Oryctolagus cuniculus: one gene and its partner. The protein of the gene in region 2 interacts with the protein of the main gene of each other region in a biochemical or structural test. Links are inferred from orthologs where the notes say so. Each region holds a gene or a part of one and is shown on either strand. Other genes may lie near its edges.

What was found. The genes of interacting proteins can lie anywhere in the genome.
Region 1: of the proteins of DYRK1B (region 2) and HNF1A, one has a biochemical effect on the other in vitro, tested with the Homo sapiens proteins (2 studies listed by IntAct, with this or other methods). The link is inferred for Oryctolagus cuniculus from reciprocal best matches to the Homo sapiens genes DYRK1B and HNF1A.

The regions. Positions count from the first base shown.
Region 1 is NC_091452.1:16,945,233-16,955,269, forward strand, and holds part of HNF1A (hepatocyte nuclear factor 1-alpha), read left to right. Parts: intron 1-4,063; coding exon 4,064-4,263; intron 4,264-9,314; coding exon 9,315-9,501; intron 9,502-9,876; coding exon 9,877-10,037. UniProt on the Homo sapiens protein: Transcriptional activator that regulates the tissue specific expression of multiple genes, especially in pancreatic islet cells and in liver. Binds to the inverted palindrome 5'-GTTAATNATTAAC-3'.
Region 2 is NC_091449.1:14,151,627-14,162,158, forward strand, and holds DYRK1B (dual specificity tyrosine-phosphorylation-regulated kinase 1B), read left to right. Parts: upstream 1-3,360; 5' UTR 3,361-3,507; coding exon 3,508-3,586; intron 3,587-4,210; exon of another isoform or gene 4,211-4,335; intron 4,336-4,681; coding exon 4,682-4,845; intron 4,846-5,899; coding exon 5,900-6,019; intron 6,020-6,122; coding exon 6,123-6,311; exon of another isoform or gene 6,312-6,415; intron 6,416-6,574; coding exon 6,575-6,722; intron 6,723-6,908; exon of another isoform or gene 6,909-7,019; intron 7,020-7,334; coding exon 7,335-7,621; intron 7,622-8,054; coding exon 8,055-8,201; intron 8,202-8,282; coding exon 8,283-8,423; intron 8,424-8,691; coding exon 8,692-9,007; intron 9,008-9,370; coding exon 9,371-9,477; intron 9,478-9,571; coding exon 9,572-9,943; 3' UTR 9,944-10,305; downstream 10,306-10,532. Other genes in the region: FBL (rRNA 2'-O-methyltransferase fibrillarin), read left to right, coding at 1-27, 988-1,100, 1,993-2,138, 2,226-2,250.

The sequences.
Region 1 (10,037 bases), on a different chromosome or scaffold from region 2:
GGCCTCTGGCGTCAGGTGGGGGCCGAGAGGCCTGGGGACCCCTGGAAGGCCTGGGCTTGGGGGGAGGTTGAGGCTCGAGATGGTGCAGAGGCAGGACTTCCCATGTGAGACCCGGATGAGACCGGGAAGGGTCAGGGCGGGGTCCCGGGTCCTGGGTCTCCCTGGGGTGCCCCAGGTTTGAGCTTTCTCCCTCAGACCTCGCCCCTTGGTTCCCCATATGACCCTGGGCAACTCTCTTTCCCCTCCTTCTGCCCCAGTCTCCCTACATGGACCGTGGATCAAACCCAGCACCCTGCTCTGGCTCTGTCCCCCCAGCGACTTCCCGGACCCCCCCTGGCCTGCTCCCTTTCTAGCTCTGCCCCAGCTACACTGATCCCCACCTCAAGGCCTTTGCCATGCTGGTCCTCCTGCTTCAAGCCCCATTTCTCCCCAGTCCTCTGTCCACCCCACCCCCAGCCACTCTCTCTCCTACTTTCTTCTGTCCCTTATCATTGCTTTGTGTTTATCTGTTTGTTTTCTGCCTGGGTCCATGAGGACAGCAGCTCTTCAAGGGCAAGGCCTGGGACGCCTTTTCCACCACTCAGACCCCTAATACCTGGCCCAGGCGTGGACACCCAGAATGAATGAATGAGTGAACCAATGGGTGGCTACAATTCAGCTTTGCTGTGGACATTTGCTCCCAGCTGGCCAACGCCCAGCAGATGGAGGCGTGGCCCACAGAGCAGCCGGAAACCCAGGGCTCCTCCCCAGGGGTCCTCCCCGGCCCCGAGCATCTCAGACCTCAGCCATGGAGCCCTCGGATCCCCCTCGGCGGGTGGCACTGAGAACCAAGGCAGGACGGAGGAGCCGCCTGCCTGGGCTCGAGATGCAGCTCTGCCCCCTTTCTGGCCCAGGCAGGGGGTTCCCCCCACAAGATGGAGATAACGGTAAATCCCACGGGCTCAGGCAGGACGCTCACAGCCTTGTACTCCTGACTTCCAGAGGAGCGAATGAGGGCTCCAAGAGCCAACGTGACCGACTCAAGGTCACTTCCCAAGCAGCGAGTCTAGGACTTGGGCCCGAGTCTCCTACCCCACACTGTGCACGGCTCCCCTCGAGGGCTGCATGGAGCTCCCAGCTCCTGGCTTTGGCCTGGCCCAGCCCTGGCTGTTGCAGCCATTTAGGGAGTGAACTTGCGGATGGAAGACTCTCTCTCTCTCTCTCTCTCTCTCTCTCTCTCTCTCTCTCTCTCTCCCCCCCTCTCTGTACTCTGTAGCCCTGCCTTTCTGTGGTCATGCAACTGGCCCTCCCCTCCCACTTGCTCTTGCCGTTCACCCTGCCCGTGAGCGCCCCTCCACGCAGGAGGGCTTACAGCCAGCACCGGCTGTCCCGGAAGTGTGACGCATCCGCAGCGGCATTGCACAGGGAGGAGGCTGAGTCACGTGGTGAAGGTTGGGCAACTTCCCGAGGCCATATGGGTGCCGGGTGGCAGAGCCGGATTCGAACTCAGGTCTAAACTCTCACGCTGAGAATTTGGCTCTCCCTCCCAGTGAGCGGCCCTTCAGCCTGGGTCTCTCCCAGCTCCACGACCTTGGATGACCTGAAACCAAGGGTGCCACAGAGCAGAAGGCCCAAAGCTGCGGCCAGGGGGGAGGCAAGAGGAGGGCGATGCAGGCAGGGCTTCACCCCTCCTGGGCTTTGCTCCCCTGGACTAGGGGGCCAGGGAGGATGATCATGATGATGCCTCAGCATTGTCCCACTTCCTGAGCCCCCTCTGCTCGCCAGGCCCTGTCTGAAGGGCTTCATCCCTGTGCGAAACGCACCCAGCTCTCCCAGCAGCTGCAGGAGTGAGGCGCGGATTTGCCCTGTGTCGCAGGGCAGGCATGGGCTGTGCGAGTGCACAGGAGCTGGGGCGTAGTCAGCAGGGGAATGCCTGGAGACCTGGCCATGGTTCTGAGCTGGGGCAGCTGTGCTGACAAAGGAGCTGTGTTCTTGGAGATTGGGGCAGGGGTGGAGGAAGGGAGAGGGAGAGAGGGAGGGAGAGAGAGAGGGGGGCACAAAGAGTGAGGATGGACATGAACAGGGCAGCAGCAGGCAGTGGACCTTCCGCCGCGGGAGGCAGGGCAGAGGGTGGTGGCTGGGGTGGGGGAGGGAGGCCATGGGGCCGCCCGCCCTGCAATCAGATAAACATGTTTGCCAGACACGGTGGCAGGCTGCACTTTGGACCGCCCTTCCCTCCTGGCTCTCTCGGCGTGGGGGGAGGGGAGCGGTGGGGAAGAGAGGACCCCAGGAGCCTCTGAAATCAGTGAGAAGCAGAGCCAGGGAGAGGACTGTTGGCGGGGGGTGGGGGGGCGTACTATGAGATATTCTTCCCAGGGGTGTCACCCTGGGCAAGTGACGTCAGCTTCCGGAGTCTCGGTTTTCTCACCTGTGGAGTGGGCATGGGAGCGGCACCTGCTTCCTGGAGTCGCTGGAAGCCTGAGGCAGCCAGCCCCTAGCACAGCGCCGGGCTCAGAGAGAATCTGCAGGGAACACGCTTCCCCCCGGCTTCCCTCTGTCCACAAGCGGGACGTCATGTGCCCGCTGCTGACCTCCTGAGAGGCCCCTGTCCCCTCCCTCTTCCCGTCTTTGCCTTTCTGGAAGGGGCTGATAAAACAGCAGACAGAGGGGCAGAGCTGAGGCACGCAGAGCTCTGTGCCCTGGCACCTGGCACCTGGCACAGCCCGGCCAGGGCCGGTCCTTGAGGACAGGGTGGTGGTCAGCCTCCCAGTGCTGGAGGCTTGTCGTCGTGGGGCGGCCGTATCACTGTTCCCTAAAGAGCATGCGCCTCCTAGAGGTGACTTAAAGTCCTCGGATGACACTTGAAGGTTACACACAAATACTAAGCCGGGCTCTCCGAGGGATGAGGGCATCCGCGGAGCTTGGTGTCTGCAAGGGGTCCTGGCCCCGCTCCCCCGTGGACGCCGAAGGAAGACTGTGTGTGGAGATGGCGTAGCGTGTACCATCAGTGCGTCACGTGCTTTGATGCATGCGACCCCTCACCCGGCCCCCGCACACCTTCCCTGCTGGAGGCCATCGGGAGCAGCTCAGCCTGGGGCGTGGAGCCCAGGGCTCACGCACACAGTACTGGCTCACGGAGGCCCCTGCGTGCCCGTAACCCCTTCCCCTGGGACCCTGCTGAAGAAGCAGCAGGTGCCCTGCTCTCTGGGAAGTCAGCCGGCCGCTGCCGAGGGCAGGGCGCAGGTTTTCAGGAGGTACCGCGGCTCTGCGATCTCTGCCTGATGGGCTGGCGACTTAAACCAAACCCCTTCTGGTGGGAGGGCACGCAGTGGGGCTGGCCCCATCCACAGGCAAGTGGGGTGAGCTCTCTGAGCCGCAGTGGTGCTGGCTATAAAATGGGAGAGCCTGCATTCTCCTCCTTGTTTTCAGGTTCAGTGTTTTTCTTTCTCTGGTAGATCTCCCTCATCCATCCATCCACCCACCCATCCATCATCCACACACCCATCTGCCATCCACACATCCACACATCCTCCCATCCACCCATCCACCCACCCACCCATCTGCCATCCAATCTCCACCCATCTACCATCCATCCATCCATCCATTTCTCACCCATCCGCCTGTCCCTCTGCCCACCCATCCCACACCCACCCACTCGTCCCTGTGTGCCCTAATGGCCTACTCTTTGTCAGGCCCACTTCGGGTGCTGAGTGAGAACCAGACATTTCCCACCTAACATGTCCACTCCCAGACCCTCAGTGAATAGCACGGCCACCAGTAACACTGTCAGGTAGGATGAGGGGAAGCACTTTAAAGGCCCAATTGGGGAGGACCCTCCCCAAGGGGCCTGTGCAGTCAGGAGTCCACTCACATTGACGTTGGTGTCCACATGTCTCCAAGTCTCGGTCCCCACGTCCCTGTGTCTTGGCATGAGTGACAACACCTCCCTACCTCCAGGGCTGGGTGCAGGCTGCACAGCTGCTGTCATCCACGGTCCCCACCTCCACGACTGGCAAGTGCTCACGGGCCCCCTGGAGACCCCCCCCCCCCCCGCTGAGCCGAGCTGTCCTCGCCTTCCTCCCAGGGAGGACCCGTGGCGCGTGGCCAAGATGGTCAAGTCGTACCTGCAGCAGCACAACATCCCGCAGCGCGAGGTGGTCGACACCACCGGCCTCAACCAGTCGCACCTGTCCCAGCACCTCAACAAAGGCACCCCCATGAAGACGCAGAAGCGTGCTGCCCTGTACACTTGGTACGTCCGCAAGCAGCGAGAGGTGGCCCAGCGTAAGTAACCACTCCAGGACGCGCCCCACTCCGAAGAGGGGGCTGGGAGCCTCTCACCCCCGGGAGATCTCTTGCACCCATCTGCTCATCCATCTTCACAGACAGGGAGAGAGAGAGAGAGAGAGAGAGAGAGGCGGGGAGGGGAGGAGAGAGACAGAGAGAAGTCCCTTCTACTGGCTCCCTCGCCAAATGCCCGCAACAGCCAGCATGGAGCCAGGCCACAGCCAGGAGCCAGGAGCTCAATCCAGGTTTCCATGGGGACAGCAGGGACTCACTCAGCTCCCTGAGCCGTCACCTGCTGCCTCCTAGTGTGTGCGTCAGTAGGAAGCTGGAGCAAAGAGAGGAGCTGGGACCGGAGCCCAGGCACTGTAGCATGGGGTGTGGGGGTCCCCAGGGGCGTCTTCACGGCTGCACCAAACATGGACCCCATCAGATACATCTTCTCACTGATCTTACTCTTTCAAGGGGCTTCTGGCCCTTGGTGGAGGCACCATTACTGGTTTAACTGGCCACCGACCCACAGACTTCTAGGGTTTTCCCAATCTGTAATTACAACCGTCTGCTGCAGCGAACAATCGTATTTGCCTAAGTTTGTGCTCACTGAGTGTGTCTGCAGCAATCACTCCCGGGGTGGGACGCTGGGCTGGAGGGCAGGAGCTTTAGCATCTCTGCTGCGGGTCAGGCACCGCGGCACAGCAGGCTAAGTCGCTGCCTGGGACACCCACTCTCCACATCAGAGAGGCGGGATGAAGTCCCACTGCTGCTCCTGACCCAGCTTTCTGCTGATGTGCCTGGGAGGCAGCAGGTGTTGGCCCAAGTGCTTGCTCCCTGCCACCCATGTGGGAGACTCAGATGGAGTCCCTGGCTCCTGCCTTTGGCTTGGTCCAAATGCCCTGGCTGTTGTGGGCATTTGGAGAGTGAACCAGTGGATGGAAAATCTCTCTCTTTCTGTCTCTCCCTGCCTTTGTCACTCTGTCTTTCAAATAAATAAATAAATAATACATAAAACATTTGGCAGACACTGCCATAGTTTGTTTTAAACTAGTGGCCTCCATTTGCCTGCCCACCAGAAAAAATCACTGTTGGAAAAAAACGCACCCCACACAACCTCGGATCCTTGCCCATGCCTACCCTGGCTCTAAGCGCTGGGGCATTCGCTTCTGCTGCCCTTCAGTGCACACTGGGAAAGCAAGTGCAAAGCAATGCATGTTTTGTACTTTGAACATTTTCTGTGAGAATAATAAAAACTTCCTTGGAGAGGTGGGTGTTTGGCCTGGGGGTTCAGAAGCCAGTGTCCCCTATCAGACTGCCTGGGCTCGGTCCCCGCTCCAGCTCCCGACTCCAGCTTCCTACTGAGCAGACCCTGGGAGGCAGTGGGGATGGCTCAACTAGCCGGGTCCCTGCCGGCCACAAGGGAGCGCGGGATTGAGTTCCAGGCTTTCAGCGTAGGCCTGGCCCAGTCCCGGCTGTTGTGGCACCGGGGAGTGAACCGGTGGATCCGAGCTCTGTCTGTCTCTCAAACTAAAAACAACTAAATGATTTTTTGAAAATCTGTTAGAACTAGGCTTAGCTTCTAGGCTTAGCACAAGGTGAAGCCGCCGCTGTAGCCGCGGACATGACCACCACAGAGCAGCACCAGCTCCCGCAAGCCTCCCCTTCCCGGGAGAGGGACCCCAACCCTGACTTCCGTCATCAGAGCCCTACTGTGGCTCTTTCTGAGTTGCACATAAAATCAAGCCAGCAGTGGCTGCTGCTTCTCCGTATCATGGGCGCAAACTCATCTTCTGCCCCTGTGTCCCAGGCCGGCCCACTCCGCTACGTGAATCCAATGGACTAATTCCGTCTTTGGCAGGCCTCGGGGTTTCTCCCCACGCTTTGCTGATGTGAACAGTGTCCCTGTGAATGTTCTAGTATGTGGCTCTCTCTGAGTGCATATCCACTTCTGCTGGGCTTGGAATGACTGGGTGAGCTCCACCCTCACAGGTGCCGCTGCACAGCCGTCGGCACCCCAGCCACAGTGTCTGAGCCCCAGGAGCTCCAGGCAGCGCTGCCAGCACCTGGTAGTGTCCGTAGTTTCCATTCTAGCTGTGGAGATGGTGGCATGGTACTGTGGCTTTAGAAAAATCTGTATTAGTTTACCTTTGAGAGAGACACGCACAGAGACGTCGCTCTCACTCGCTGGTTCACTCCCGAATGCCTACAGTAGCCAAGCCTGGGCCGGACCAGAGCTGGGAGCTGGGAGCTGGAGCCAGGGCTTCCACGGGTGGCAGGAGCCTGGAAGCTTGATCATCATCCCTGCTTCCCAGGGTGTGCGCTCACGGGAGGCTGGGCCTGGGAGCCAGAGCTGGGTGCTGAACCCATGCACTCTGAATGGGACCCTGGGGTCTGAACTGCCCACTTAGCTCTCATGTCCTCCACGAGTCCCCATGTGGGGCGTCCCATTTGGCTCTCAGGTCATCTGCCTTTTAATGGTGGGTCTGTAGGAGTTTTAAAAAGATACCATGCCCACGAGTCCCTTTGCAAGTAGATCCACAGCAAGTGTATCTCCCCACGCTGTTCTCCAGACTGCTTTTTGATGAACAGAAGTTCTTACTGTTTTTTTTTTTTTTAAGATTTATTTATTTATTTAAAAGTCAGAATTACACAGAGAGAGGAGAGGCAGAGAGAGAGTGAGAGAGAAGTCCTCCATCTGATGGTTGACTCCTCAGATGGCCATAACGGCCCGAGCTGCGCTGATCCGAGGCCAGGAGCCAGGAGCTTCTTCCGGGTCTCCCATGCGGGTGCAGGGGCCCAAGGACTTGGGCCATCCTCCATTGCTTTCCCAGGCCATAGCAGAGAGCTGGATCGGAAGTGGAGTAGCCAGGTCTTGAACCGGAGCCCATATGGGATGCTGGCGCTTCAGGCCAGGGCATTAACCCGCTGCGCCACAGTGCTGGCCCCATTCTTACTGGTTTTTTTTTTTTTTTTTTTTTTTTTATGGTTGGTACTTTTTTTGTGTTGTAAGAATTTTATCTAAGATCATGAAGGTAGACTCCTGTTCCTATGTATGAATTATAAAAGTTTATTTGAAAGGCAGAGAAGGCGAGGGAGAGGGAAGAGAGGCAGAGGGCGACAGGCATCGCCCATCCACTGGGTCACTCTCTCAATGTCCCCAGCGGGGAGCCAGGAACTCAACGTGGGTCTCCACATGGGTGGCAGGGACCCAATTGCTTGAGCCATCATCACCTGCTGCTCCCAGGAAGCTGGGATCAGAAGCGGAGCTGGGGCTCCAACCAGCCAAAGTGCTCCCTCACCCCTGCGCCCAGCGCCCGCCCCTCCTGTGCTTTCTCCCGCCGGCTTTACCCCGAGAGCCGCAGGCCAGCCGGGTCTGAGGACTTGCCTCTAGACGGAGAGTCAGCGTCCCGTCTCTTTCTCACAAGCAGCTCGGGCCTCTGCCCCTCTGTTTACAGCCTGAGTCGCCACTGCCCAGGGCCCGCTCTGTCCTCCTCCGCCACTGGCCACGCAGTGCCAGTAACTGGAAGGAGACCCAGGAAGCGGCGGGGGCCAGGGGCTGCCGTGGGCTCAGGAGGGTCCCCAGGAGGACTGGGGCTGCTTCCTGCGGAAGCGGGAGTGACACTTGCGGGCTGTGCCCCAACGGAGTGGATGTTATCAGGTGCAGCAGATGCAGCCGGGCATCGCATGGCACTCACGCAAGGACCTGGGCCGGCCGCTGCGGCTCGAGTGCTGGCCCTGCCCGGGACGCAGCTTTCTCGAGCTGCTGTTCCCCCTTCCAGGCGGCGGAGATAAACGGCTGTGGTGGTGCCGCGGGCGCTGTCCCATGGATGTGCTGTGGCAGTGTCCCGGGGACATGAGAGCGAGGCTAGGGCGGCTGTGCGGGGTCTCCCCGCTCAGGGCCCCCCAAACCTCTCCCACCCCGCCCCCGGCACATCCAGAATGGTGCAGGCCCCCTGCTTTGTATGTTTGGTGACTTACTAAACCTTTCGTTGTAGAACTCGTTTAGATTTCTGGACAATCCAGAAACTTCTCTGCAGCCCTCGCCCGGGTTCCCCTGTTATAAACACGAGCACGCTGCGCTTGTCACCAAGGACCACAGGGACAGCGCGGGCGATGGCCACGCTTCGTTCAGACGTCCTCACCCTCCCCGGAGGCCCCTTCCCGGCCCCGGGGCCCCAGCCGCTGTGCAGCCGGCAGTCGTCTTAGCCCCTCAGCCTTCCTGGTGACGATGCTTTCTCAGGCTGTCCGGGGTTTTGATGGCCTGGGTGTGGCCTTTTTTTGAGGTTTGGAGGCCACATTCTGGTGCCTTGTGCTCCGGATCTTGGTCCAGGCCCCTGCCAGCCCCCTGGGGCCACACCATGGTTGTAGATAGAAGGCAAATGGCCCATGGGGGTGGTCCCAGGGAGGGGTGGCGAAGCCATGGCTGTGATATTGTGGGCATCCGGGCCAGGGCAGCAGCGGGCAAGGCCTGGCTGTCAGCAGCTCCCTGCGCCTCCCTGGGTCCCTCCTGCGACTCTGGCTTCCTGCATGTGGATGGCGGGAGCCGGCCCCCTCCCCGCTCTGGCCCATTCCTTGGTGGCCTGCTCAGGGCTAATCTGATCAAAAGTGGAGACAGCCGAAGAGGGCTCTTCCTTCCTGGCTGACACTCATGTTTTCAGCCAGATTTCCAAGTCTGAGAGTTGCTGATAGCCCTGAATCAACTTTAGGATGTGACAGGGTTCAAGGTTCTGCCCTGCTGTGTGACTCTGGGAGACAGGGGATATCCCTCCCTGAGCCTCAGCTTCCCTGGAGCCTTGTATCCAGAAGGGCTGTGCGATGGTTTCCTGGCTTGGGAGACAACGTGCAGGTGTTGATTGGTGATGTCTGCCTCAGACACGGGTTAAGCAGGTGGTGGCACAAGCATTGGTCATCACTGGATGAGATGGTTTCCAAGTTGTAGCTCTGAGCTCCTCTCCGTCAACACCTGGGAAGGAGAGGAAGGCAGGGGCGTGGCCAGGGGCACTGCTGTGGGGAGGTGGGCGTGGCCAGTGCCCCCTGACAGCTCCCTGTGCCTCCAGAGTTCACCCACGCAGGGCAGGGCGGGCTGGCTGAGGAGCCCACAGGCGATGAGCTGCCCACCAAGAAGGGGAGGAGGAACCGCTTCAAGTGGGGCCCAGCGTCCCAGCAGATCCTGTTCCAGGCCTACGAGAGGCAGAAGAACCCTAGCAAGGAGGAGCGGGAGACGCTGGTGGAGGAGTGCAACAGGTAGGAGGACAGCCTGGTGGGCAGTGGGGCCGGCTTGGCTGGGCTGGGGCAAGGCTGGGGAAGGGGAAGGTGACCGGGCCCTGTAAGAGCACCTGCTGTGGGTTTAGCCCAGCCCAGGGAGGTGAGAGGACTCCTGCTCAGTGTCTTGAACTTAACTCCATTCCCAGCACCCCTTGGGTGGCTGCTTGTTGGCTGTTCTGCCTCACTTTATGAATGGACAGAGCTCAGAGAGGCTAAGTCACTTGCCCGAGGTCACACAGCAGAACTGGTCTTGGAACCGAGATCTGCCAGCCTCACGTGCGCAGGTACAGCGCCCCCTCTTGGGACCTTTTCATCCCCCGGAGAGGGTTCCGCTGAGCTGGCCTGTTTCTGCAGGGCGGAGTGCATCCAGAGGGGGGTGTCCCCCTCGCAAGCACAGGGGCTGGGCTCCAACCTCGTCACAGAGGTGCGCGTCTACAACTGGTTTGCCAACCGGCGCAAAGAAGAAGCCTTCCGGCACAAGCTGGCCATGGACACCTACAGCGGGCCTCCACCGG
Region 2 (10,532 bases):
ACCCGCACAAATACCGCATGCTCATCGGTGAGCCGTCTGGACGCCGGCCCAGCTGGGTGGGACAGGCCTCCAGGTTTCCGGGTTGGGCCGGCAGAGCCTGGCTCCGGATGGAATTCGAGTCGATGCGCAGGCCTCATGAGTCTACAGGAGTGAGAGGGGCAGCGGGAGGCAGGCGAGGCTGCAGAGGCGGCGACCTGGCCACGGGGCCCCCTCCTCTGCTCTAATCTCCCCTTCCTCAGGGCCCCTGTAGCCTCCCCAAACCATGGCCCTTTCCCCACTGCCCTGGCTTGCCAGGAAAGCCTCCTTCAGGGTCCTTGTCGGCACCTGGTGAGATCCTCGCCCAGCCAGCACACACTGGGCAGAGCCTGGCCTGGGGGGCCTCTTGTGAATGGGACAGCTGTTGTTTTAAAAAAATTCTAAAGCAGGTGTAACACGGGCTCACAGGGGCGGCGCCCTCTAAAACCACCCTGGAGGTAACTGATCGGAACGAGCAGCCCCTGCCCTTTCCAGTTCTGAAGCTCAGTTTTCATTAGGTCACATCATCGTCTATTTTGTTTCTTTTTTAAAATCACACCTTACAGACTGCCTTTCCCTCTACTCCAAGCTTTTCCCTGGGCACGCTTCCCACTGCCCTGTGCTGCAGGCGCGCTTGCCCATGAGTGATCACCCTCTCTCGTCTTGATGACACGTCCATCAACCCCTGCCCCCGGGTCTGACTGGTCTCTGTGTCCCCCACGCCCGGGTCTGAGTCGTCTGCGTCCCCCACGTCTGGCCCAGGGCTGGCCACAGGGAGGGGGCAGCCATGGTTCTGAGAGTGAAGGAATGATGCGTGACTGGATTCTGAGCCCATCTCGGGGTGCTGTGGAGGGAGGGGGTCAGTGTGGGGGGAGGGAGACCTTCCAGGGCCTGCTGATGGTGCGCAGGCCCCCCGGGAGGAGCTGAGCTCTTGGGTGGGTCCAGCTTTGACTGGCAGCCCTTTCCCCGTAGCAATGGTGGACGTGATCTTTGCTGATGTGGCGCAGCCAGACCAGACCCGGATTGTGGCTCTCAATGCCCACACCTTCCTGCGGAATGGAGGACACTTTGTGATTTCCATTAAGGTACCAGGCTTGGGGGAGTCGAAGGTGGGCTGGCAGCGTCCCAGGGAGGTGTTTTCTCTGCCAAGCAGCCAGTCAAAACAAGGGGACTGGGGTGGTGTTTAGCCTAGTGGTTAGATGCCCATGTGCACCATATCAGAGAACCTGGGTTTGAGCCCCTGCTGTGATCGCTCAAATGAGTGGACTTCTGCCGCCCAGGTGGAGGATCTGGACTGAGTCCCAGGCTTCAGCCTCGGTTCCTGGCCACTCCCAGCATTTGGGGAGGGAACCAGCAAATAGCACCTCTCTGGTTGCATAGGCGATCTCTCTTTGTCTCTGCCTCTCAAATTAGTTGATTAAAAACCTTTTAAAGGCAGGCGGGCCTTGGCCAGTCTATCCCAGCTCCTCACAAGCCTCCCCTGCCCCCGGTCAGATAGCACAGCATAGAATACCTGTAGAACCCAAAGCGTGGCGTCCAGAGCCAAGGCGGCGTGGTGGCCAAGGGCACGGCCGCTGGGTCTGTTTTCCAGCGTGCTGTGCTGTGCAACTTCAAGCAAGCTGCTTAACCTGTGTGCCTCTGTCTTGTGAAATACACGTTTTGGCCCTATCTCAGGGTTGATGTAAGGATCAACTCAGTCTACATGGAGGGCTTAGAAGAGATACTGCACAGACGCTAGGTGCATTTTTCAGAACCATTTACTTTGCAATTAGAACGCGCGTAGCCGCCACCAGCTTCGCCACTTGCTGGCATTTTGTTGCCTGTGCCCGGGAAACTAGCTTTAGGTGACAGGAGGTTGCTAGGACTTCCTGCCGGGCCTGGGCCTGAGGCTGCTTAATGAACCAGGCTTCCCCTAGCGGCGCTGGCGGTGCTAGGCAAAGGCAAACCACGCGGGCTCTGGCTCCTTCCTCCCCGCAGGCCAACTGCATCGACTCCACCGCCTCGGCCGAGGCCGTGTTCGCCTCAGAGGTGAAGAAAATGCAGCAGGAGAACATGAAGCCCCAGGAGCAGCTCACGCTGGAGCCGTACGAGAGGGACCACGCTGTGGTCGTGGGCGTGTACAGGTGAGCCGGCGCCCGGCGGTCCTGGGGCCCCCGGACCCCCGAGTGGTGGCCAGCTGTAACCCCGCCCTTGTCCCCATCTGCTCACAGGCCGCCGCCCAAGGTGAAGAGCTAAAGTTCAGTGCTGTGTGGATGTCGAGAGATGCGTGTTGTGCCGTGGCTCCTGTGTTTTTCTATTAAAATGACTTCTCCGTGGTCCCTGTCTGCCGCTGATTGCGCCGTGACCGCGGTGGACAGCAGGGTGCATGCGCCCTTGGTCAACTTTGTGTGGCGGGCAGGGGAGGGAGGCGGGAGGGTCAGTCCGCCCCACAGCGCATGCTCTGTTCCGCGCTGCCCCCCCCCCCCCCCCCCCCCCCCCCGGGCAGAACGGGGATTCGGCTACTCGGGCGGGATTGGTAGTTCACTGCGCATGCTTGCGGGTGAGCACAGGAAGGGCGCATGCGCGGAGTATTACCCTGGGTCACGTGAGGGGGCGGACTGGGGTAGGGGCGGAGCCTGGGGCGGGTTGGGGGGGCGGTTTGTTGTGGTCGCCATTTTGCTGGTTGCATTACTGGGTAATCAGGGCCCTGGCTGGCCGTGTCTGCCGGATACCCTCAGCCAGTGGGCAGATCTGAGCTCGGGCCGCCCGAGCACTTTGAGTCCCCTTGCCCGCGCCCTCAGGTAACAACACGGGGACAGCCGGGGCAGCACGCGCTGCTGGGGGGAAAGACGGGATGGGATCCGCCCTGCCCGCGTAGCTTCGAGACTTAGCACGAGGCCGAGGGAGGAGAAGAGAGGAGGGGAGCGAGGTTCCGGCAGGTGCGGGCTGCGCTTGCCTATTCATAGTCCGATTCCTGGAAAAGGCCGGGCCAGGGGAGCCGTCTTGGGAGGAAGGCTGGGAGGGGGTAATCGGGCCCCACTCCCGCCCTTTGTTTGGGCTCGGCTCCGCCGGCCGCATCGTCGTTGCCTAGCAACAGCTGCCCCAGGCTGGGATTGGTTGAGCTCTTGGTAGCAGTGGCCAATGGCGCGGTTGTTGCCATGGCAGGTGCAGATTGCCAAGCTCGGTGAAACCCCGCCTGCTGGGGCGGGCCTCCTGGGTGGGGGGCGGGACGCTGGGGTCCCTGGAGGCGGATGGCCGCTCAGGGTGGGGCGGGTGGGGCGAGGGTTAACCCGCCCCTCCCCCGTCCACCTGCTCTCCCCTTCCCCCGCGTGCCCTGGGCTGACCCGAGTCCCCTCCTTTCCCCGCCCCCGGCAGCGGCGGCGGTAGCGGCGGCTGCTGTTGTCACCCACCGGGCCGCCTGTCCCGCTTGCCCTCCCCGCCGCGGGGCTCGCCGGGCCGGCCAGGCCGGGGACAGGCGGCCACCTTCTCGCCACTGCCGCCGCCGCCACCGCCATGCTGGCCGCTCGCCCACCCAACTGGGGGCCCCACCGCGCCCCAGCCCCTCGTGGGTCCCGCACCAGCCCTGACCCCGGTAGGGGATGGGGGCTGGGAGAGCCGATGCTAGTGTGGGAGGGGGGGTTAGCGCCAAGAGAGTAAGGGTCCTGGAGTGGCAGGCGTGGGAAGGAGAAAGGGATCTGACATTGGGGAAGACCCGTGAGGAGAAGATTCTGTGGTGCTGGCTGCTCCGGGAGTAGAAAACATTATGTGGGCTTGTCTGTTGGGGCCTTCTAGGAATGGTCACATCTGGGGAACGACTCTCGTATGGAGAGGGGTAACTGGAGAAAGGGCCCTTGTAGGAATATTGGGTAGTGCAGGGTGGGGGAGGGCAGGGGTCCAGTGGGGGGAGAAAGGGAGATCACCGTGAGCGTGGGAAGACACCTCCCCGTTGCTCCCATCGGGAGGAACGTGTTGATTGGGAGGGGGTCTCGGGGTGACCCAGGGAAGAGCCCAGTGTGACCGCAGGAAAGTGGACTATGGTGAGGGAGGCTCCCAGGAGAAGGCCCTGCTAGGGGGAGAGGACTTGGTGTGACCGGAGGGTGTCTTGGGGGAGAGATGTGTGCTGGTGTGGGAGCGTGCCCCAGAGGCGGCTCTCGGGTCACCCCGGTGTGGCTAGGAGATCCCCGAGGACCCCGACACGGTTCCAGGGCCTGCAGAGGGCTCGGCTGTGGTGAAGGGGGAGGGGCGGCCAGATCCGGAGTCCTCTGGCTTAGAGGAGCCTGTGGGACGGGGTGAGCCCCTGGTGCTCAGGGAAGACTGCAGGAGGGGCCCAGGCGGCCACAGGTAGAAGTGGGAAGGAGAGAATGAGCCCTGTGCCGCCTGTGGTCGGTGCTTTCTGTCATTATCCTCTTCTCTCCCCCGATTGTCGGTGTCTGTCCTGTCCTGGGCATGCCCGTGTCCCCCACCCCCACCACGCCTGGCTCCCAATGCTCCCTTTTATGTGTCCTGCTGCTGCCTCCTCCACGTACTTGGTCATCGTTTGTTGGGCTCTGCCTGCCCCCTCTCTGTCCCCCTTGTCGCTGCTGTCACTGTGCCCCCCCCCATTGCTTACGCCTACCCCTTCCCTGCCTGGCACCGCCCCACATGTCCCCTCGTTCCGTGTTGTCTCCCCGTCTCCTGCTACTCCCAGGTCTCAGCGGCGGTGGCAGCCGAGGTGCAGGATGCGAGAAGGCGCCCCCCGGCCGGGCTCCCGCTCCAGGCCTCGCACCCCTGCGGCCCTCTGAGCCCACCATGGCTGTCCCACCAGGCCATGGTCCCTTCTCTGGCTTCCCAGGGCCCCAGGAGCACACGCAGGTATGTGTTCACCTGAGGGGGGCCCACTTCCCTGGGGGTCAGGGAGACTTGGGATGGAAGAGTCTCAGGACTGCAATCAGTGTGGTTGTCTGGAACCATCTCCCTGGGCAGGATGGGGCCCCTGGGAGTGGAGGTCCCCTGACCTGGGAGAATCTGGGTTCAAATACTGATGTCAGTTTTCAAATCTATAAAATGGGGCCAGTAACGCTGCCCACCCCACAGGGCTGCCCTGAGGGTGAAACGAGGTAGAGAAATGCTGAGGACGGCGCCTGGCCCGGCGTCAATGCCCAGGAGTGGTCACTGGGACAAAGGAGGCTGGGCTGGGGCGTCTGGGGAGGTGGACTGGCTGGGGAGTTGAGCGCCTAGGGCCTGGGTGGCACAGGGTGAAGCTACCGAGGACAGAGCAGTGAAGGCTCTGAAGTGTAGGACTCGGAGCAGGGTGCACTGGGAGGCCAGGCGCCTCCCCCAGACCCAGAGCCTAGTGAGGAAGAGCGGGTGAAGGCGCTCAGGCCTGGAGGGTGAAGGCTGGGAGGCCTGAGGGGCACAGGAAATTGAGCTGAGGTCCTTCCGAGGAGGGGTCCCAGAGTGGAGCGGGTCAGGCTGGAGGGCTGCAAGGGCAGGGCCAGGTTTTCCTGCGCAGTTCAGGAAGGAGGAAGCGGGGGTGAAAACGCCAGCTGAGGCTCCGGGAAAACTCAGGAAAATGCAAACGAAAATAAACAAACAAACGCCATGCATACAAAGAGATCTTCAAAAAGTTGTAATCAAAAATCCATGACAAAGGCATATGAATTTTCAAAAGGCATTTCGCACCAAAAGAATCTCTTAATTCCATTTTCCCAAGAACTTCGTTGAAATCCCCTTATGAATGGCACACGCGCTCATCAGCCTGACAAACACCGCGCCGTGCCAGGCCCTGCTCTAGGCAGGCTGCTCCGTCCATGGGGAGGCCGTTCCAGCAGGGATCCCTGGCCGGGCAGGCGGGGAGCCGGCAGCGCCCTTGCTGAGGCTGGAGGTGAAGACCCGCCTCCATGCCCACCGCCTCCTTGCCCTGCAGGTGCTGCCTGATGTGCGGCTGCTGCCCCGGAGGCCGCCCCTGGCCTTCCGGGACGCCACCTCAGCCCCGCTGCGCAAGCTCTCTGTGGACCTCATCAAGACCTATAAGCACATCAATGAGGTGGGCCCAGGCTTGGGGGGGAGGTGTGCCCTGGGCCGGGCGCGAGGGGCCTGGCTGCCACCACAGGTCACTCACCACGCTGTTTCCCTTGGCGGCCGGGCAGGTGTACTATGCCAAGAAGAAGCGGCGGGCCCAGCAGGCGCCGCCCCAGGACTCCAGCACCAAGAAGGAGAAGAAGGTCCTGAACCACGGTTACGATGACGACAACCATGACTACATCGTGCGCAGCGGCGAGCGCTGGCTGGAGCGCTACGAGATCGACTCGCTCATCGGCAAAGGCTCCTTCGGCCAGGTGTGGACACGGCCCCGTGGCCCCCACTCCTGTTGACCCGTCTCCCGGTGGCTCAGTGGCTTCAAGGTCCGCTCGCAGTCACTTTCCTTGCGTCTTGTTTCCTTCTGTAAAACAGTGCTAATAGCAAGACGCGTGGTTCTGTGCCCTGGTCGCCCCAGTGTCTCCCGTGATGAGCACCCAGCTGTGTTGGCAGTGCTGGGAGCTGCCCTTCCCTGTCCCCCTCCCCCGCCCCCCTTGGTGACGCGGCCTGCCCTGCCCCACAGGTGGTGAAAGCCTATGACCATCAGACCCAGGAGCTGGTGGCCATCAAGATCATCAAGAACAAAAAGGCCTTCCTGAACCAGGCCCAGGTCGAGCTGCGGCTGCTGGAGCTGATGAACCAGCACGACACGGAGATGAAGTACTACATAGGTGAGGCCGGGAGGGTCGCCCGCGGAGGGGCGGGTGTGTGTGTGTGTGTGTGTGTGTGTGTGCGCGTGCGCGCCTGCGCTCTGTGCCGCTCGGGCCAAGCTCGCTGGGGGCCGACTGCCCGAGGGAAGGGGCGGCACTGCCCACGTCCACATCTCGGGATAAACCGTGGCCCCGAGGCGCCGTCACCTGTAGGAGGTGATCCCTTGTACTCTGCAGAGCTGTAACGTCGGGGCAGAGGCCTCCAGAGTCGTTATTCTTAGCAACTGTGCTTGTTCCTCTTTCTTGAACTAATTCCTCCTAGGAAAGGCAAACGGATTTCTTTTAAAAGGAAAACTTAGGGATCCTTTGTCCCTGAAACAGAACTAAGCTGCAGACTGGTCCACAGTTAGATGAGGAAGTGTGGGACCGGGTGGAAGACTTACTGTAGCTCATGGGAACTTTCACTTTGGTTTCATCGGAAGGTTTGACAGAGACTAGAAAAGAGATTGACTTCCTGTGTGAACTGAGTTATAAAAATATCACGGCCAGCAGCTGGTCCCCGCAGGCCGCGCTCCCGGGTGACCCGGGCAGCAGCAGCCAGCCCTGAGCCCGCCGCCTCTCCGTCTCCTGCAGTGCACCTGAAGCGGCACTTCATGTTCCGGAACCACCTGTGCCTGGTGTTCGAGCTGCTGTCCTACAACCTGTATGACCTCCTGCGCAACACACACTTCCGCGGCGTCTCGCTGAACCTGACCCGGAAGCTGGCGCAGCAGCTCTGCACGGCGCTGCTCTTCCTGGCCACGCCCGAGCTCAGCATCATCCACTGCGACCTCAAGCCCGAGAACATCCTGCTCTGCAACCCCAAGCGCAGCGCCATCAAGATCGTGGACTTCGGCAGCTCCTGCCAGCTGGGCCAGCGGGTGAGGGGCGGGGCTGGCGGTGGGTGTGGCCAGAGCAGGGGCGGGGCTGGCGGGTGGGTGTGGCCAGAGCGGGCTGGGGCTGGTGGGTGACCGGGCACAGGAGAGCCCTACAGGGTGCGCTGCCCACTAGGAGGGAGGGGAAGCCTGAGCGGGCAGGGTGTGGGCGGGGCGAAGCTGGGCTGCTTTTGGGCCTGGAAGGGCGGAGGGGAGGGGCTTCAGCTGTGCAGCCCCGTGTGAGAGGTGTTTGGCGAGGTCAGGGCCAGGCCCGCAGAGACCCTGACGCTGCCCAGTGTGGTGGTGGCAGTGGCTCCCCGGAAACTGGTGCTGAGAACGTTGGGATCTGGATCCTCCATTTCCAGATTGGGGTCAGAAGCTTGTCCTCAGCTGGGTCCTCTAGCCAAGGCTGGGCCCCTGACTGTCGCCCTCCCTGCAGATCTACCAGTATATCCAGAGCCGCTTCTATCGCTCGCCTGAGGTGCTCCTGGGCACGCCCTACGACCTGGCCATTGACATGTGGTCCCTGGGCTGCATCCTCGTGGAGATGCACACTGGGGAGCCCCTCTTCAGCGGCTCCAATGAGGTGCGCCCCCAGGAAGGGGTGCGCTGGAGGGGGCGGGGTGGAGCCTGGCCAGCCTGCTAACCTGACCCTGCCCGCTCACAGGTGGACCAGATGAACCGCATTGTGGAGGTGCTAGGCATCCCGCCAGCCCCCATGCTGGACCAGGCCCCCAAGGCCCGCAAGTACTTTGAGCGGCTGCCTGGGGGTGGCTGGACCCTACGAAGGACAAAGGAACTCAGGAAGGTGCGGCCCCTGCCCCGCGCCACTCCCCCTGCCCTGGGTGGCCCCTCACTCTCTCACACTCGGGGCGCCCCCTCCCCCTGCCGCCTCCCCTGTGTCTTTCCCGTCCTACCTCTTCCCCTCGTCTGCCCACCCCATCTCTCCTGCCCTCCCGCTGGCTTTTCTTGGCCTCTCTCTCCGCCTTCTCTCTGTTTCCCCGTGTGTGTCTCCCTGCCCCTCCTGCCCACTGACGGCCACTCTCTTGCCCCCCCTCCCACCCCCTCCCTGCCAGGATTACCAGGGCCCCGGGACACGGCGGCTGCAGGAGGTGCTGGGCGTGCAGACGGGCGGGCCCGGGGGCCGGCGGGCGGGGGAGCCGGGCCACAGCCCCGCCGACTACCTCCGCTTCCAGGACCTGGTGCTGCGCATGCTGGAGTACGAGCCCGCCGCCCGCATCAGCCCGCTGGGCGCTCTGCAGCACGGCTTCTTCCGCCGCACGGCCGACGAGGCCACCAGCACGGGCCCGGCAGGCAGCAGTGCCTCCACCTCGCCCGCACCCCTCGACACCTGCCCCTCCTCTAGCACCACCAGCTCCATCTCCAGCTCGGGTGGGTGCCCAGTGCCCAGAGCGGGGGACCACAGGGGTGGGGGCGCCTCTGACCTTGGCCTCTGGGCTGTCACACAGCAGCTCTGAAGTGGCCTGATCCTGAACTCCCAAACGGGCTGGGGTGGAGGAGCTGCAGGTGACCGTGACCGTGACGCCATCTCCAAAACATGGCTTGTGGCCGGACGCCTAAAACTGGCTCTGGCTTTAACACCCCCAAATCTCAAAAACTGGGCCCGAGCCTTCCAGTGGGCTGTGATCACCCGAGCCATAACCTAGGCCTGGGGCCATCAGCCAGGCTCAGCCAGCCCCAGACCCTGCCACCGGCTCCCTCAACCGTGGCTTTTCTCTCCTCTCGTGCTTCCAGGAGGCTCCAGTGGCTCCTCCAGCGACAACCGGGCCTACCGCTACAGCAACCGCTACTGTGGGGGTCCCGGGCCGCCCATCACTGACTGTGAGATGAACAGCCCCCAGGTACTGGAGGCTGGGGGCTGTGGAGGCGGGCGGTGGGGTGCCTGGGGCTGCAGGACCCCAGGCTCCATCACCCACTGCTCCTTTGCTCCTTTAGGTCCCACCCTCCCAGCCGCTGCGCCCCTGGGCAGGGGGTGATGTGCCCCATAAGACACATCCAGCCCCTACCTCTGCCTCGTCACTGCCGGGGCCCGGGGCCCAGATGCCCCCCCAGCCCCGCTGCCTTGGCCGGCCCCCGTCACCAACCTCACCGCCACCCCCGGAGCTGATGGACGTGAGCCTGGCGGGCGGCCCTCCGGACTGCTCCCCGCCTCACCCCGCGCCTGCCCCCCAGCACCCGGCTGCCTCAGCCCTGCGGACTCGGATGACGGGAGGTCGCCCGCCTCTCCCACCCCCTGATGATCCTGCCACTCTGGGGCCTCGTCTGGGCCTCCGGGGTGTGCCGCAGAGCACGGCGGCCAGCTCATGACCCTGCCCCCTCCCTGGGGCCCCTCCTGAAGCCATACCCTCCCCCCACGTGGGGGCCCTGGGCTCCCATCCTCATCTCTCCCCTTGACTGGAATTGCTGCTACCCAGCGGGGGCGGGTGAGGCCTGCACTGACGGGCCTGGGGCAGGGGGTCGAGGAGAGGGGTTTGCTCAGACCCTCCCACTAAGGACTGGACCCTTGGCTCCCCCTCCCCCCTTGTTTTCTATTTATTGTACCAAAGACAGTGGTGGTCCGGTGGGGGGAGGCTCCCCTCCTCCCAGGGCCCTAGGAGGGGGCGGGGGCAGGTAGGGGGAGATGGCCTTGCTCCTCCTTGCTGTACCCCCCAGTAAAGAGCTTTCTCACACGCCTGCCTGAGCGTCTGCAGGGCCTCCGCTCCCCTTACCCGGCCCGCCGAGGCATGGTGGGAGGAGCATTTGGGGAGGGGGTGCCGAGAGATTTTGGTGGTGCGGCTCCAGGTGCGACCCCGGCCGGCATTAACCTTCCTAGCGTAAACTGGCACCCAGACAGGCTGCGGCCCGTGTTCGGGAAACACCGTGTTCCTTCGGCCCTAGTAAGCCAGGCAGGCATCAG